4 linked regions of the Callithrix jacchus genome follow. The protein of the gene in region 1 interacts with the protein of each later gene in a biochemical or structural test. Links are inferred from orthologs where the notes say so. Each region holds a gene or a part of one and is shown on either strand. Other genes may lie near its edges.

Evidence for each region. The genes of interacting proteins can lie anywhere in the genome.
Region 2: the proteins of RHOA (region 1) and RTKN form a complex in vitro, tested with the Homo sapiens proteins (8 studies listed by BioGRID). The link is inferred for Callithrix jacchus from reciprocal best matches to the Homo sapiens genes RHOA and RTKN.
Region 3: the proteins of RHOA (region 1) and MCF2 form a complex in vitro, tested with the Homo sapiens proteins (2 studies listed by BioGRID). The link is inferred for Callithrix jacchus from reciprocal best matches to the Homo sapiens genes RHOA and MCF2.
Region 4: of the proteins of RHOA (region 1) and KCTD13, one has a biochemical effect on the other in vitro, tested with the Homo sapiens proteins (2 studies listed by BioGRID, with this or other methods). The link is inferred for Callithrix jacchus from reciprocal best matches to the Homo sapiens genes RHOA and KCTD13.

The regions. Positions count from the first base shown.
Region 1 is NC_133516.1:31,971,357-31,974,856, forward strand, and holds part of RHOA (transforming protein RhoA), read right to left. Parts: intron 1,673-3,500; coding exon 1,552-1,672; intron 1-1,551. UniProt on the Homo sapiens protein: Small GTPase which cycles between an active GTP-bound and an inactive GDP-bound state.
Region 2 is NC_133515.1:38,758,049-38,762,123, forward strand, and holds the start of RTKN (rhotekin), read left to right. Parts: upstream 1-1,275; 5' UTR 1,276-1,361; coding exon 1,362-1,472; intron 1,473-2,735; exon of another isoform or gene 2,736-2,836; intron 2,837-3,208; exon of another isoform or gene 3,209-3,563; coding exon of another isoform or gene 3,564-3,635; intron 3,636-4,075. UniProt on the Homo sapiens protein: Mediates Rho signaling to activate NF-kappa-B and may confer increased resistance to apoptosis to cells in gastric tumorigenesis. May play a novel role in the organization of septin structures.
Region 3 is NC_133524.1:136,459,841-136,463,778, reverse strand, and holds the start of MCF2 (proto-oncogene DBL), read left to right. Parts: upstream 1-1,138; 5' UTR 1,139-1,433; coding exon 1,434-1,695; intron 1,696-3,938. UniProt on the Homo sapiens protein: Guanine nucleotide exchange factor (GEF) that modulates the Rho family of GTPases. Promotes the conversion of some member of the Rho family GTPase from the GDP-bound to the GTP-bound form. Isoform 1 exhibits no activity toward RHOA, RAC1 or CDC42.
Region 4 is NC_133513.1:29,592,989-29,597,081, reverse strand, and holds the start of KCTD13 (BTB/POZ domain-containing adapter for CUL3-mediated RhoA degradation protein 1), read right to left. Parts: upstream 2,801-4,093; 5' UTR 2,607-2,800; coding exon 2,363-2,606; intron 318-2,362; coding exon 148-317; intron 1-147. UniProt on the Homo sapiens protein: Substrate-specific adapter of a BCR (BTB-CUL3-RBX1) E3 ubiquitin-protein ligase complex required for synaptic transmission.

The DNA.
Region 1 (3,500 bases):
TCTTCCAAGTTAACCTGTGTGAAGGCAAAACTCCTGATCTCAAATGATCTGCCTACCTCAGCGTCCCAAAGTGCTGGGATTACAGGCATGAGCATCCGCACAGAGCCTTTAGCCACACCTGGCCTGTAGCCCAGGCTGGAGTGTAGGGGCGCAATCTCAGCTCATTGCAACCTCTGCCTCCCAGTTCAAGCAATTCTCATGCCTCAGCCTCCCAAGTAGCTCGATTATAGGAACATGCCGCCATGTCCAGCTAATCTTTATATTTTTAGTAGAGACGGGGTTTCACCATGTTGGCCAGGATGGTCTTGAACCCCTGGCTTCAGGTGATCCAACTGCCTTGGCCTCTCAAAATGCTGGGATTACAGGTGTGAGCCACTGCATCTGACCAAATTAATTATTTTCAAATAAAATCTTTATCTTTTGAGACAGAATTTCACTTCTGTCACCCAGGCAAGAGTGCAATGGCATGATCTCAGCTCACTGCACCCTCCGACTCCCAGTCTCAAATGATTCTCCGGCCTCAGCCTCCCAAGTAGCTTGAAGTTCAGGTGCACACACCATCAGGCCCAGCTAATTTTTGCATTTTTGTAGAGCCAGGGTTTCGCCATGTTGCCCAGGCTGGTCTTGAACTCCTGAGCTCAGGTGATCCATCTGCCTCAGACTCCCAAAGTGCTAGGATTACAGGCATGAGCCACTGTGCCCGGCCGAAATCTTTATTTTTTATTTTTGTTTTTTGAGACGGAGTTTCACTCTTGTTACCCAGGCTGGAGTGCAATGGCACGATCTCGGCTCACCACAACCTCCGCCTCCTGGGTTCAGGCAATTCTCCTGCCTCAGACTCCTGAGTACCTGGGATTACAGGCATGCACCACCATGCCCAGCTAATTTTTTGTACTTTTAGTAGAGACGGGGTTTCACCATGTTGACCAGGATGGTCTCAATCTCTTGACCTCATGATCCACCCGCCTCGGCCTTCCAACAAAACCTTTAATTTTAATAGAGAAGGAGTCTTGCTAGGTTGCTGAGGCTGATCTGAAACTCTTGGCTTCAAGTGATCCTCCCACCTTGGCCTCTCAGAGTTCTGGGATTAGAAGCAAGAGTTACAGCACCTGAACCTAATTAATTTTTTAGAGCCAGGGGTCACTAGTCCCAGGCTAAACACAAACTCCTGAGCTCAAGCAATTCTCCTACCTCAGCTTCCTGGGTAGCTGGGATTACAGGCACATGCAACTATCCCCCAACAAGTTAGATACATTTTCTTTCTTTCTTTTTTGAGACAGAGATTTTCTTGTCTCCCAGACTGGAGTGCAATGACTCGATTCCAAATCACTGCAACCTCTGCCTCCCGGATTCTCCTGCCTCACCCTCCCAAGTAGCTGGGATTACAGGTGCATGTCACCACACCCGGCTAATTTTTGTATTTGTAGAGACAGGGTTTCGCCATGCTGACCAGGCAGGTCTCCAACTCCTGACCTCAGGTGACCCACCTGCCTCGCCCAGCCTAGGTGGATACATCTTGCAGTGACAAACACTGGGCGCAGGACCACTCACCTAAACTATCAGGACTGTCGATGGAAAAACACATCAGAATAACATCGGTGTCTGGGTAGGAGAGGGGTCTCAGGCGATCATAATCTTCCTGTCCAGCTGTGTCCCACAAAGCCAACTCTACCTGTAATGGGAAAAACAACCACAAGAGCTCAAGGTTAATGCTACTACACACTTAAGTGACACTAACCATAGTACATTCAAATGACAGTCTAAAACAGTAAAACACAAGAATATTTACTTTTAAGAGCATCAAGCTCAAATTAAAGTATATTTAATTTATTTTAGGTTGAAATTTGTCAAAATCGGAAATTTGAGACCCTATCTCTACAAAGCAATCCTTAATAATTAGCTGAGTGTGGGCTGGGTGCAGTGCACACCTTTAATTCCAGCACTTTGGGAGGCCGAGGCAGACGGATCACCTGAGGCCAGGAGTTTGAGACCAGCCTGACCAGCATGGAGAAACCTCATCTCTGGTAAAAAATACAAAACTAGCCAGGCATCATGGCGCATGCCTGTAATCCCAGCTACTCGGGAGGCTGAACCAGGAAAATCACTTGAACCCGGGAGGTAGAGGTTGAGACAAGCCAAGACCATTGCACTCCAGCCTGAGCAACAAAAGCAAAATTTCGGAGTATGGTGGTGCACACCTGCAGTCCCAGCTACTTGGAAAACTGAGGTGGGAGGATTCCTTGAGCCCGAGAGGCAGAGCTTGTAGTAAGCAGAGATCATACCACTGCACTCCAGCCTAGGCAGTGAGACCTTGTCTCCGTTAGGAAAAAAAAAACAAAAACCAACAACCAGATACTAGAACTGAACCAAGTGGCAAAATTCAAAATGTCAAGTCAAAAATAACATAGCTTATAAGTATTTGATTATAAATAACACTGTACTAGGTAAGAAAGCAGACAGACAGGAGAGAAGATATAAAATTTTAAATAACATTCCACCAGGTACACAGACAAGAAAGGGAGATACCACACTAAGTAAATTTTCTGCTGCAATGTGGAAACATGGAGACAAATCTGCATTCTGAGTTGGTAGGAAAGAAAAGACACAACGCTGGGTGTTAGGCAAGGCCTGAGATGACAGGAGAGACCTTTGGCTGTGCCTTTACTATTCAAGAATGTCTGAATGGCTGAAATAATGCAACACATAAGGTGAGAGAGCACTCTTTTCACATCCAGGTACATGCTCAACCTCCTGTAATAGAAGGGTAAATTTGTTGGGTACCAGCCCCGACCCCATTCATGGGTGCCCTTAGTCTTGGCGGTGACAAAGGATTGAGAAAAGGAAATAAAGACAAAGACAGAAGAGTAGAATTTTACAGCATGGGTTCAGGGGACCAACACAAGCATGGGGACCACTGGCCCCAAGTTCTGGTTTCCACAGGTTATTAGGTGCACACACTTGTTAACTGCAGGGTGGTGGAGGAGGGAGGTGATAAGGGGAGGCCTTGAAACTATTGTGAGAGGCCTTGAAACTAATGTGGGCAAGATAGCCAGGGGAAGAGGTGAGGTCTGCAGTATTTGTAGCAGATGTGATTGATTGATTATTTTATTTATTAGAGATGGGGTTTCACCATCTTGGCCAGGCTGATCTTGAACTCCTGGCTTTGTGATCCACCCATCTCGGCCTCCCAAAGTGCTGGGATTACAGGTGTGAGCCACCACCTCAAGGGGCTTTCTTTTTTTTTTTTTTTTTGATGGAGTTTCGCTCTTGTTACCCAGGCTGGAGTGCAATGGCGAGATCTTGGCTCACGGCAACCTCCGCCTCCTGGGTTCAAGCAATTCTCCTGCCTCAGCCTCCTGAGTAGCTGAGATTATAGTCACGTGCCACCATTCCCAGCTAACTTTTTGTATTTTTACTAGAGACGGGGTTTCACCTTGTTGAACAGGATGGTCTCGATCTCTTGACCTCGTGATCCACCTGCCTCGGCCTCCCAAACTGCT
Region 2 (4,075 bases), on another chromosome or scaffold:
GGTTGAAGTGCAGTGGCTATTCACAGGCATGATCCCACTACTGATCAGCACCTGGGCCGGATCACCCCTCCTTAGGGAACCTGGTGGTTCCCCGCTCCCAGGATGTCACCATATTGATGCCAAACTTAGTGTGGACACCTGATCGACATAGCATACTACAGCCCAGAACTCCTGGGCTCAAGCGATCCTCCTACCTCAGTCTTCCGAGTAGCTGGGACTACTGTGCCCAGCTTGTAATGCTTTTTAAAAGATGGGGTCCCACTATGTTGCCCAGGCTAGACTTGAGCATTTGGGCTCAAGTGATGCGCCCACCTTAGCCTTCTGAGTAGCTGGGACTACAGGTGTGCACCACCACACCAGGCTAGTGTGTGTGTGTGTGTGTGTGTGTGTGTGCCTATGTATGTTTTGTAGAGACAGGGTTTCACCGTGTTGCCCAGGCTGTTCTCTAACCCCTGAGCTCAATCAGTCAGCCCATCTTGGCCTCTCAAAGTGCCAGGATTACAGGCTTGAGCCACTCTGCCCAGCCATTGCTCTTTATCTTTATGGCTCCAAATATGGGGCCCTTGCCTTGTGCCAAACATTATGCTGGGCATTTTACCCTCATACTTATAGATAATACTCATAGCAACTTGAGTGGGGACAGTTACAGTATTCCCACTGAACAGATGAGAAAACTGAAGCACAGAAAGATCAGTGACTGGACCATGTCAATGACCGCACGGTTAGTTAGTGACAGAGCTGGATTTTCACGACGTGTTTAAGCACTGTCCCATCAGTTGTGGCCGTTAGGCTTGGGCTGATAGCCACAGAGAGGAGAGGAAGAAGGAACATTTGGGACTGTGGGAAGTTGAAATGGTCCGTTTGCAGGCTGCCGGGGTTTAGACTGGGCAAGTTCCCAGCGCCCAGATAGAGCCGGAACGTACTACGCGACGATCCCTGAGCCACGGGGATTTCCGCGCCAGGGAAGCCAGGCTTGCCAGGTGGGTACGGCTGCCGGGGAGGGGCTTCTCAAGGCCCGCCCCATGCCCAGGTGAGCGCTCGCGACCCGTGCGGGCAGAGAATGCGACCCCGCAGTGCTCGCGAGGTGCAGGGTGCTCCTGCCTCCGGGGCCGTCGGGCCAGGTCGGCTTGGCGCGCTGAGACTGGCCGTACGGGCTGGGCTTTTGGCGGCGGTGGAAGAGGAGGTTGCCGCGCCTTGCGCGGCCCAGGTGTCGTCTCCGGGGGCGGGGTTTGGAGCCCTGCAGCGGGAGATCCCCGGCGGGACTGGCTGGCGGGCGTCGAGAGACTGAAGCGGAGGAGAGGAGGCGAAGCCGGGCGGCGCGGAGAGGCGCAGGACGCAGGCGAAGTCGCAAGGCCGCCAGCATGTTCTCTCGTAACCACCGGAGCCGGGTCACAGTGGCCAGGGGCTCCGCCCTGGAGATGGAGTTCAAACGCGGCCGCTTCCGACTCAGCCTCTTCAGCGACCCGCCGGAGGTGAGAGACCCGCGTCCCTGCCTTCCCCTTCCGCGGCTCCCGGGGGCAGCCCCGGCCGCCTCGGCCTCCTGCCTTCGTCCGCGCGCATGCTGAGGGACGGAGACGCCACGGTCTGGGTACAAACCTGACGGAGTTATTGACTTAAAAAGTAAGGTGTGGACAGTCTGCCCTTTCATCAAATCAGTGCTGCCCTAGACATTCCCCGGCCTGGCTGGGATGATTTGCTTGTGTCTGGAAAAACCCCGGGTTATCTCAACTTGGAGAGCCCCAGCTCGACTCCCAAAATGGGCCTGGACCCCAAAATGTCCTGAGCATTCCCGGGCCAAGGGCGGTGGGCAGCTAGGGGGGGCCCAAACGCTGGGACTCTTGGCCTGGCCTCCCGCTCGTTCCCCTGCCGCCAGCCCCATCCCACAACCTGTCGCAGCCACCTTGACCAGCCTGTCATCAATCCCGACTTCTAGGTCGAGGCCGCTCGCTTCTCCGAAGCCCTATTCCAAGGCTCCTCTGTGCCCCTGCAGAGCTTTTAACTCTTTGGGGTTACTTCCAACACGAAAAATTTCCGCCTCCTTTCCTGGGGCCTAAGAGGAGTCCAGCCCCTAGGCTGAGCGTCCCCCGCCCCGCCCCGTCCGCCTTCCACGCGTTGCCCCGTTGGAGCCCCACCTGTAACTCCCTAGAGGCTAGGGTGGGGGTGAAGGTGTGTGGCTGAGTTGGGACTGAGAGGGCGGGTAGCTACCCCAAAGACTCTTCTGTCCCGAAGGTCAGACTCACACTTGCCCAAGGAGAGCCCAGTTCCAAGCCTTCCCTTCCGGGCATGGAAAGGGTTAAGTGAGGTGGGCCTTCCTCCCGCCCCCTCGCCTTCCCAGCTGGGATTCCAGTCCAGGCTTCTGCCCTTTCCCTCCAGCCTGCCCAGAACAAAGGCTGTTTCACACCCTTGTCCCGGTATCCTGGGCCTTCTCTGACTCAGAAGCTAATGGACCTGGGGGAGAGAGGGCCTACTTCGGGTCCCCTTTCCCCAAAGCGACTGGGCTCGAGGAACCTGCTTGGGGCCAGTGTGGGGGAGTAAGGGGCGAGGCCCGGGTCCAGGGGAGGGGCCTGTGAACTGGGGCCGCCCCTCGGGATTAGCCCGGCCTTCGGGGCCAGAGCCGAGGAGCTGGGGCGGAGCCACAGGGCCCCGCGTTTGCCAAGGGGAGTGTGACTCCGTGGGCCTGGCGTGGAGGCGGGGGAGCTAGGCTGCAGCTGGCTGGGAATCGGGGCTGGTTTCCTGTCTGGAAGGGAAGGGGCCTGCAGAAGGGAGCGGGGACAGCAGCAGACAGGCACACCCCTGCCTTCCTCCCTCCCTCTCCTCCCTTCTCTGGAAAAGCGAGGTAATTGTGAGCCCAGGGTGGAGTGGGCTGGATGGGGGCCCTGAGTTGAAAGGGGTGGCCCTGGGGCTGGGCTGCGTTACCAACTCACCCGTTTTTCTACTCCCTGGGCTCACTCTCCCCTGAGGTCCTCACCTCTGTGGCTCTTTTGCCTAACTTTCTCTAAGCCCAAACCCCTCTCAGAAAGCGCCAACCTCATGTAAACCCCATGACTCTGTAGAACCTGCATGAGGCGTAGTTTCCCTGCCCCCTTCCAGTTGTGCCTGCCCCTCACTGCCCTCTCTGCACACAGATTCTCTGTCCACCAGGCCAGGGATGTGGGCGGGGGCTGGGGAGCGGCCAGAGTCGGAATGAAAGGGCCTTTTTCTTCCACAGCTGGGAGAACAGCTGCCACCAAAGCAAGACTGGACACTCTGTGCCCAGAGCCCCCTCTGCAGTTGGCCTTTCCTCCTGGGACCCCACTCATCCTCACTTTGCTTTCCTTTTCTCCCCTGCCTGGCTCCCAGCAGGGCCCTGGAGCAGCAGTAGGCAAGGAAAATTTGTCACAGCAGCCAGAGGGGTCTAACAGGAGTGTAGAGGGATAAGGGCAACTTCTGCCCTCTGCCTAAGAGCTGTCCACCTCTTTCAAGACTGAGGGAACAGTGAGAGGAGGAACTGTGGGACAGTGTGGCACCTGTCTGTCTCCTCTCTGGAGGGGTCGACAAGGGAAAGGGCACCAGGGGGCACAGAGATGCAGGACAGATTGCACATCCTGGAGGACCTGAATATGCTCTACATTCGGCAGATGGCACTCAGCCTGGAGGTAATCCCCTGACCCTTGGAGTATACACCTCCTTCACTTGCATCCCAGCCCCAATATTGGCCCTGCCCATTCCTGCTAGATCGTGTTGGGGAGAGCCAGGCCTGCTTAAAGTGGGAGAGGGACAGGTGGTTCCCTATGCCTTGTGTTGGGTGCAGTGCGTGGACCCAGGCTCAGTTTTGCCCATCAGAGTCTTGTGTTGGCAGCAGGGTTTTCAAGAAGCTCTGTGGGTGAGTGTGGATGCCTGTTCTGGGGACAAGGATTCCTTTTAGGTATGGGAAGAAGAGAGGAGTTCAATGTGAGAGAGGTTTGCAGAAAGGAGGTAGCCTTACAAGAGAAGAAAAAGACTGGGCTGTAAGGATTCTGTTGGCCCTTGAGACGGCAAGATGTTGTTCATTCATGTATTTGTTTTTTTCAATGCTTTGTAGAGGCAAGATCTCACT
Region 3 (3,938 bases), on another chromosome or scaffold:
CACGCCCACCAACAATGTAAAAGTGTTCCTATTTCTCCACATCCTCTCCAGCATCTGTTGTCTCCAGATTTTTTAATGATCGTCATTCTAACTGGTGTGAGACAGTATCTCAATGTGGTTTTGATTTGCATTTCTCTAACGACCGGTGATGATGAGCATTTTTTCATATGTTTATTGGCCTCATAAATGTCTTCTTTTGAAAACTGTCTGTTCATATTCTTTGCCCACTTTTGAATAGTTTTTTTTTTTTCCTTGTAAATCTGCTTTAGTTCTTTGTAGATTCTGGATAATAGCCCTTTGTCTGATGGGTAGACTGCAAAAATTTTTTCCCATTCTGTTGGTTGCTGGTTCACTCTAATGATTGTTTCTTTTGCTGTCCAGAAGCTGTTAAGTTTAATTAGATCTCATTTGTCTATTTTGGCTTTTGTTGCTATTGCTTTTGGTGTTTTAGTCATGAAGTCCTTGGGGAGGGATAACATTGGGAGAAATGGCTGATGTAGGTGACGGGGAGCGGGGGGGGGAGGGGGAGGAGACAGCAAGCCACCATGGCATGTGTGTACCTATGCAACAATCCTACAAGATCTGCACATGTACCCCAGGACTTAAAGTACAAAAAAAAAAAAAAAAAAAGGCATTGCCTCCTCTTGCCCTTCCTTTTTCTCGTGTCCTCTCTAAAGTGTGTCAAGTCTCTCATACCCATGGCAGATGGCAGCTCAGGTGTCTATACAGGGGGTTGGCATTTGAAAATTTGGGACCTGGAGGGTGTGAGACTTGGCATATTTAAGGACTGAAATCAGAATGTCTGTGTGTTCGTATGCATCGTTGGAGGACATATTTCGGCTTCAGCACAGGGCCTTTCAGACTATTCAGGGCTCGTATTCTCTTGGGGCAAAGACGGCAGCTTTGACAGGGCCACCTTCAGGTGCTCGCACCGAGTAACTCCCTTGTGCCGCCAAGTCTTGTGTGAGTTGCCATGGGAGTGCGAGGCTGTGCCATCTCCTCCCACCGCATGCTAGCCTAGGCTGGCCTTTCATCCCTTGAAAATAGGCATCTCTGCAGAAATTCCCCCTTTTGGATGCTTGCGTCCCTCCTCGGAGTCCCCTCGCCTCCTTTCATCCTCTGCTGGCTAAGCGGGGGCGTGGGTGCGCGCACCCAGGAAGAGTAGCCCTCGCAGCGGCGGTGGCCAGAGCGCTCCGCAGGAGCCCCAAACTCATAACAAGTTCTCGGACTGCTCGCGCGGAGCTCTCAGGCCTCTACGCCTCTATACCTACTTGGAGGGGTCCAGAGGGCGGGAGGCCGCGACGCGGTTGGGCTGAGCGGGGCCAGGGGCTGCACCCCTCCGGCAGTGCCTGAGCGCGCAGCGGCGGCGCGCGGATCGGAGCTGGGCAGCTACTGGCTGGGGTAGCGGCCCTGCCTGGGACTCCAGCGTGAAGATGGCAGCAGCAGAGCCCCGGCCCCACCTGGGTTCGCCACGGCGGGCGGCCAGGCACATGCCCCAAGCTGCCGCTTCGGCGCCGTGTACCCCCTTGTCCTGGATCCCGGGCCTGCCCCAGAACCCAGGTGGTTGCACTTCCATGCCGACAACTCAGGCGATTCCTCTGCAGGTGGATATGGCCATGGCCCTGCAGCGCGTGAGGATTGCCGAGAAGTACGGGAAGAACTACCTCTGCCTCCTTCAAGCAGTCTTCGTGGCAGGTAAGTCCCCTTCTCGCATCTCCTCCCCAGTGGCCTGGGGCTCCAACCTAGCTCGCTCACCCTTCTCCTCACCCACTGCCTCCCCAGACGAGCACACTAGTTTCCAGTCCACACTCCCCACGCGCGCGCACACACTTTCCTACTGCAGTGGCGCTCCCAGCTGCGAACTCGCTGGGTCATCCGTTCTCTTTTCCTCTGGCCAGCTGCCGCTCTGCAGGCGTGCAGCTCTGGTCCGCTTGGGCACCGCAGGAGGACCGTGGGAAACTGCAGGAAGCGGTATGAGAATGTCTCTGCCATTGCTGGTTCAGGTCTCTTATCCTCTTCTCATCCACTTCAGTGAGAACCCAACCTCTCTAAGGAGTGCACTTCCCTTGTAATATTCCCGGAAGTTGAAAAATCAATTTTTGTTTGTTTGTTTTTGTTTTCCCCATAACGCATGTGGAGGAAATCAAGTCAAAAAGGCACTCTGGTTCTGGAACCAGCAGCAGAGCCGAAGCAGGGCAGGTGGAGGAGGAGTTGTAGGGAAACAACTGCTGCCACTAACTTGGGCTTTTCACCCAGACAAGCGCATCTTTCTTTTCATCTTGGTCCACGAGCTTCTTGCTTCCCTACAAAGGCTCTTGTACAAACGAAAACAAAGTCAGGTAACTCACAAAGTCTTTACTGCCACTGCCATGGTTTGATTAAGGGGAGTGAATGGTGTAACATGGACTTGATTACTTGCCAGTCATGCTACACTCACATTTAACAAGCTAAAGTTGCCCAGACTTGGGGTTGATGTAACAGGGAGGGTGCTGCAGGCTGTGGGGCTGCGTTCCCATGGGGCCATTCTGACTGGGGCACTGGGGCAGCCTCGGAACAGAGTGCAACTCTGGGACCTGAAGTTCAGCCAGTGCTTTTCAGACAAGTCTACAAGGTGCTGCAATTGATATGCGTGCCTTCCTGTTCTCCCAAGGTAGTTTTGACTTACTAGGTTCTAAGCCTTGCAGTGGAAGTTTTGGTATTCAAAAAATAGACTTGGTGGCAATTTCCTGCAAATCAGATAGCCACAACACATGTTCCAAATATGCCTCCCTATTTAGTGCTATCCACAAATCTAAAGGAGGCCATGCAAACATCTTCAGTTAGGCCAGTGGAATTAATTCAAAGCTGTGGTCTATGCATCTTCATAACACAGAACTCTTTGGTCTTGCTTGTTTTCTTTTGAGCTGGTTAGTATTATTTTCTATATGTAATAAATCATTAAGGGGAGTGTGGTGATAAGGCACAGACTCCTTCAGCTCTTAAGAGCAATTTAAATAGTTTTTGGAGACTACAAAAAAAAATCTCGTTGAAACATTCTGTGCAGCACAGTGGAAAGTACTTTGTGTCTTGTTCTCATTTACCTTTGCATCGTCCTGGGAGCTAAAAAAAAAAAGTCTCCTTTGGAGAAATGCATGCTTAATCACAAGGGATAAATTAGTTATGCTATGAAATGTACGTTGACATTTCTACTGCTAGTGATTGCTCTTCTTTCTAGAGTTGTGTAATGTTTCATCTGTCCATACTGTTGAAGGCTCCTACATGTTGACAGGCCCCCATTCCTGTGGCATCACAATGCATCATAACACCTAAATGACACCAATTGCTGTGCTGTGTTTTTTACCTGGGCTTGCAGTACTTTTGTACCTGTTAAGCATTTGCCCTGGAAGGAATCTGTAGCCATGCGATTAGAGTACACACTACAGTACAAAAATTTTAAATGTAAAATGGATTTCATATAGTTGGAAGCTATTTATATAATAAAATACATTTACAAAGCTTTTCACTGTGGTTAATAACTTCCGGAACAATCATGTCAACAATGACCATTTATGGATTGCTCAGGCCCAGAAACTATGCTACAGTGTAATAAACTAATTACATGTATGTGTGTAGAATCTGCCCTGGGGCAGCCAGAAGAGGAAATGATTGGCTTCACTTAGGGAGTTAGGGGAAGACTTGGAGAGAGTGATGCATGAGTTGAATTTTGAGAGATGCATACAAATGTCCGGGTAGACAGAGGATGGGGATTGAATGCGGTAGGGATAGGTGGGGTGAATGGTATTCCAGGCAAGGAAATAAGATGTGCAAAGACAAGCAGAAAGAGAAGAGCAGAGTAGGTTTGGGAAATTGTAAATACCTTTTAAATGATTGAAGTGTAATATGGGGGGTAAAGGGCAGAGAGAAATTTGGAGAGGTAGGCAGGGGCTTCATCAGGCAGT
Region 4 (4,093 bases), on another chromosome or scaffold:
AGAAGATAGCATCCCAAATTCTCTGGGGTTATGGCCAATCAGAGGCAGGCTCTCTAGGCCATACCCCATATCTCCTTTCTTCTGTCCTAATACCTGCTTGGGCAGCTCTCTCAGGAACATAGGCACCGGGACTCGGAAGGCCCTCACCTGCAGTGCCAGCTGGCAGTCGTCAATCAGGCCCTGAACCAGGTAGTAGCGTGCTTCGCCCAGCAGCTCTCCCAGTTCTCTGGTACTCTCTGGCAGTGGCACAGACCCGTCCCGCAGGTAGTTGAGGATCGTACCAAAGTGACGGCCACTCCGGTCAATCAGCACCCAACCTAGTAGGGTGGGGAAAGGCAGAAGGAAAGACGGCTTTGCTGGGGGACCTGGAGCTATTAAATTAAAGAAAAATTTTTTTGTAGAGATGGAGTCTCATTATGTTGCCCAGGCTGGTCTCGAACTCTTAGGCTCAAGTGATCCTCCCATCTCAGCCTCCCAAAGTACTTGTATTATACGTGTGAGTCACCACACCTGGCCTAAATTATAAGAAAAAACGGATTCCAGCTAGGCGTGGTAACTGACGCCTGTAATCCCAGCACTTTGGGAGGCTGAGGAGGGTGTATCACCTCACATTTTTTTAAGCTGTGAGGTCAGGAGTTCGAGACCAGCCTGACCAAGAGGGAAAAACCTCATCTCTACTAAAAATACAAAATTAGCCAGGCATGGTAGCGTATGCCTGTAATCCCAACTATCTGGGAGACTGAGGCAGGAGAATAGCTTGAGCCTGGGAGGCGGAGGTTGCAGTGAGCCGAGATGGCGCCGTTGCACTCCAGCCTGGGCAACATTAGGGAACACTGACTCAAAAAAAAAAAAAGGATTCCAAAGTCACAAAAAAGACTGAATACTAATCTGTGCCACAGCCAAAAAATCTCTTTAAAATATCTCTAGTGAGTTCTCCCATAAGTTACACATCCAGCCGGAGAATTAATTCTTCCATATCTGATCTACAGTCAGAAGCTCTTAACACGAACGGTCTTGCAGAATTACCTTATCAATAAACCTCTAACCCCCATGTTAATTCTGACCATCCTATTTAAAATGTCGACCTCCCTCCAATTCACTACCATTTTAACTTTTATATTCTTCATAGAACTTATCAGAAAAAAAGAAAGAACTTACTACCTGCATATTATGCATTTTTACCTGCTTATTGATCTCATCTCCCACCTCCTTAAAAAAGGGGACTTGCCATAATTTTGTCACGTTCATTTACCTATGTATCTCCAGCACTAACTGATATTTTACAAACACTAATTGGACAAATGAATTCGTCACTTTTTTTTTTTGATGGAATTACACTAAGTTGCCCAGGCTGGAGTGCAGTGGCAAAATCTCGGCTCACCCACAATCTCTGCCTCCCAGATTCAAGCGATTCTCCTGTCTCAGATTCCTCAGTAGCTTGGACTACAGGTGCCTGCCACCACATCCGGCTAATTTTTGTATTTTTAGTAGAGACGGGTTTCACCATATTGGTCAGGCTGGTCTCAAACTCCTGACCTCAGGTGATCCACCCACATTGGCCTCCCAAAGTGCTGGGATTACAGGTGTGAGCCACCGAGCCCAGTCAAATTCTTCACCTTTGATACTTGAAGGCAGATGTCCGCCTCCCAAATTTTTATCCTCCTATTCTCATAGTCCTTGTTAACTCCTCCCTTAAGAATCTCCCAGTTCCAAACTCCAAAACTTTGGGCATGTAGGCTCCAAACTTGAATGCGACACTCCAAGAAGGTAAGGTTCACCTGCCAATGACACCTGTCCACCCCTCCACTCTGGTGTTCCTAGCAAACCTAAAGCATCCTCCTTTTGTAATGTGTGTCTACAGGTGGATTCCTGGAGTGTACAGGGACCTGTGTCGGGGAACACAGAGGCAGACAAGATCTCCCACTTCTCTAGGCTGGCTGAGCAGTTCTGAGGCAGAGAGGGAAGCAAAAGGCTGGGCAGTTGGAAGAAACTGAGAAGGCTGCCAGGAGTAGAATTGCAGGCAGCAGGGCTAGTACCCAAGTCTTTAGCTGAGGGGTGAAGGGTGGGAGAGCTGTCATGAGGATTATGAAGTGACACGTTCAATCACTTACCACAGCGCCTGGCAGAATTAGGGGTTCCGTAAATGTTGGTTATTGCTGGGGGTAAAGGACTGGGGAAGAAGGGAAATTATGAATGAGAAAGGGGAGGAGATGAGATGTGGGCGCTGGAGGGAGCTGAGAATGAGTTGACCGGACAGTAGTGAGCAGAGAGAAGGGGCATGAAGAGCCCCGGTGGTGAGAGACTGTGGGGAACGCGAGTTGGGGGTCTGGGGATGGAGGCACGGTGGGGAAGCCGCTCGTACCTCCGGCGTCGGTCAGCACCTCCACACGGCCGCTGAACATGGCCTTGAGCATGGTGTCCTGTCCCGTGAGGGTGCGCAGCGTGGTGTAGTGCAGCGAGCCGCCCACGTTCAGTTTCACGTACTTGCTGTTCGGGGTCAGCGGCTTGAGACCGTAGGCGGCGGAGCCAGGCTCTAGACCCGAGAGCTTAGGGGTTTCTAGGGACGGGGCCGCGGCCGCCGCCGGGCCCGAGGCCTCCGCCGACATACCGGGTGGCAGCGGCGGACGGCGATCCCAGGCTCTCTCCGCGCCCTTTGGCCTCCTCCCGAAGACCCTCGGCCGCCCCCAGCCCTCGGGCCAGACCGCTCGGCATACACGCCCACTCGCCGCTGCTACTAGGCGACACCTGCCCGCCGCCCCATCGCGCTCGCACCACCCGGAAGCCGGCGCCGGGCAGCTGCGCAGGCGCGGCTCCGCCCCAGAGAGGGGGGAGGGCCTGCAAGTGCGAAGCATGCGCAGCGGGCTTGCAGGGGGAGCCGGAGCAACAGTGGGTTGAGGCCTGAGGGTCCCGAGGTGGGTCGATGTGCCCTCCCGTCTGGTCTGTAGTATGCAAGACCAGATCGAGGATGCTGCCGACCCCTGCCCAATGTGGAAAGCCAAGTCTCCGCCTCGTGATTGGGTCTCTGCTCTCAGAGAGCTTCACGAACTTAAGGGGAAACAGACCGAGAGATCTGGGCGTTGGGCAGTTTCCCGCCTCCCAGCCCTGCGCACTGAACAGACGGTGACGAGAACTGCGAACAAAGCACGGAGGGAAGCTCTTAAAGGAGGCCAAAGCGGCTGGGCGCAGTGGCTGACACCCCAAAACCCCAGCATCTAAGCCCAGCTACTCGGGAGGCCGAGGCAGGAGGATTGCTTGAGGCCAGGAGTTGGAGGCTGCAGTAAACTGTGATCGGACGACTGCAAGTGGGCAACATAGTGTCCTAAAAAAAAAAAAAAAGGCCAAAGGGGTAGCAGTGTTGCCCGGGCACCAAGGATGGAAGGCCTCCCAGAGGAGGTGATGCCGAGTTGAAGCTGGGAAGCGGCCATGTGGAGATGTGAGGGAAGAGTTCCAGGCAGAGAGAAGGCAAATCCAAAGATCCTCAGGGTGCGGTGGCTCATAGTTGTAATCCCAGCACTTTGGGAGGCTGAGACAGGTGAATCACGAAGTCAGGAGTTCGAGACCAGGCTGTCCAATATGATGAAATCCCGTTTCTACTAAAAAATACAAAAATTAGCCAGGCGTGGTGGTACACACCTGTAATCCCAGCTACTCAGAGGCCGAGGCCGGAGAATTGCTTGAACCCGGGAGGTGGAGTTTGCAGTGAGCCAAGATAGTGCCACTTCACTCCAGCCTGGCAACAGAGTGAGACTCCATCTTTAAAAAAAAAAAAAATCTTCAGGCAGGCAGGAACACGCTCTAGTATTTGAGAGCAGAGGGTGTGTCAGAGGTGGCCACAGCAGCTGAACAAAGGTCTTAGAATCCCAGCTAATGTCATGGGACCTAGCACCCAACCCCAAAAGAAAGAAGAAAAGATAGGAACCCACTGTTGACAAGAAAGTGCACTGAGAAGTGTTTTTATCTGACCCAATCTGCATCCAGTTTAGATGCTGATACATCAGGGATTTAACAATCTGCCTTAATGTCTAGCAAGGGGGGTTGCTGGAGGGAAAACAGAGTCAGAGTTTTTCCTTCAACCCTGCCAGCAGGTCACTGG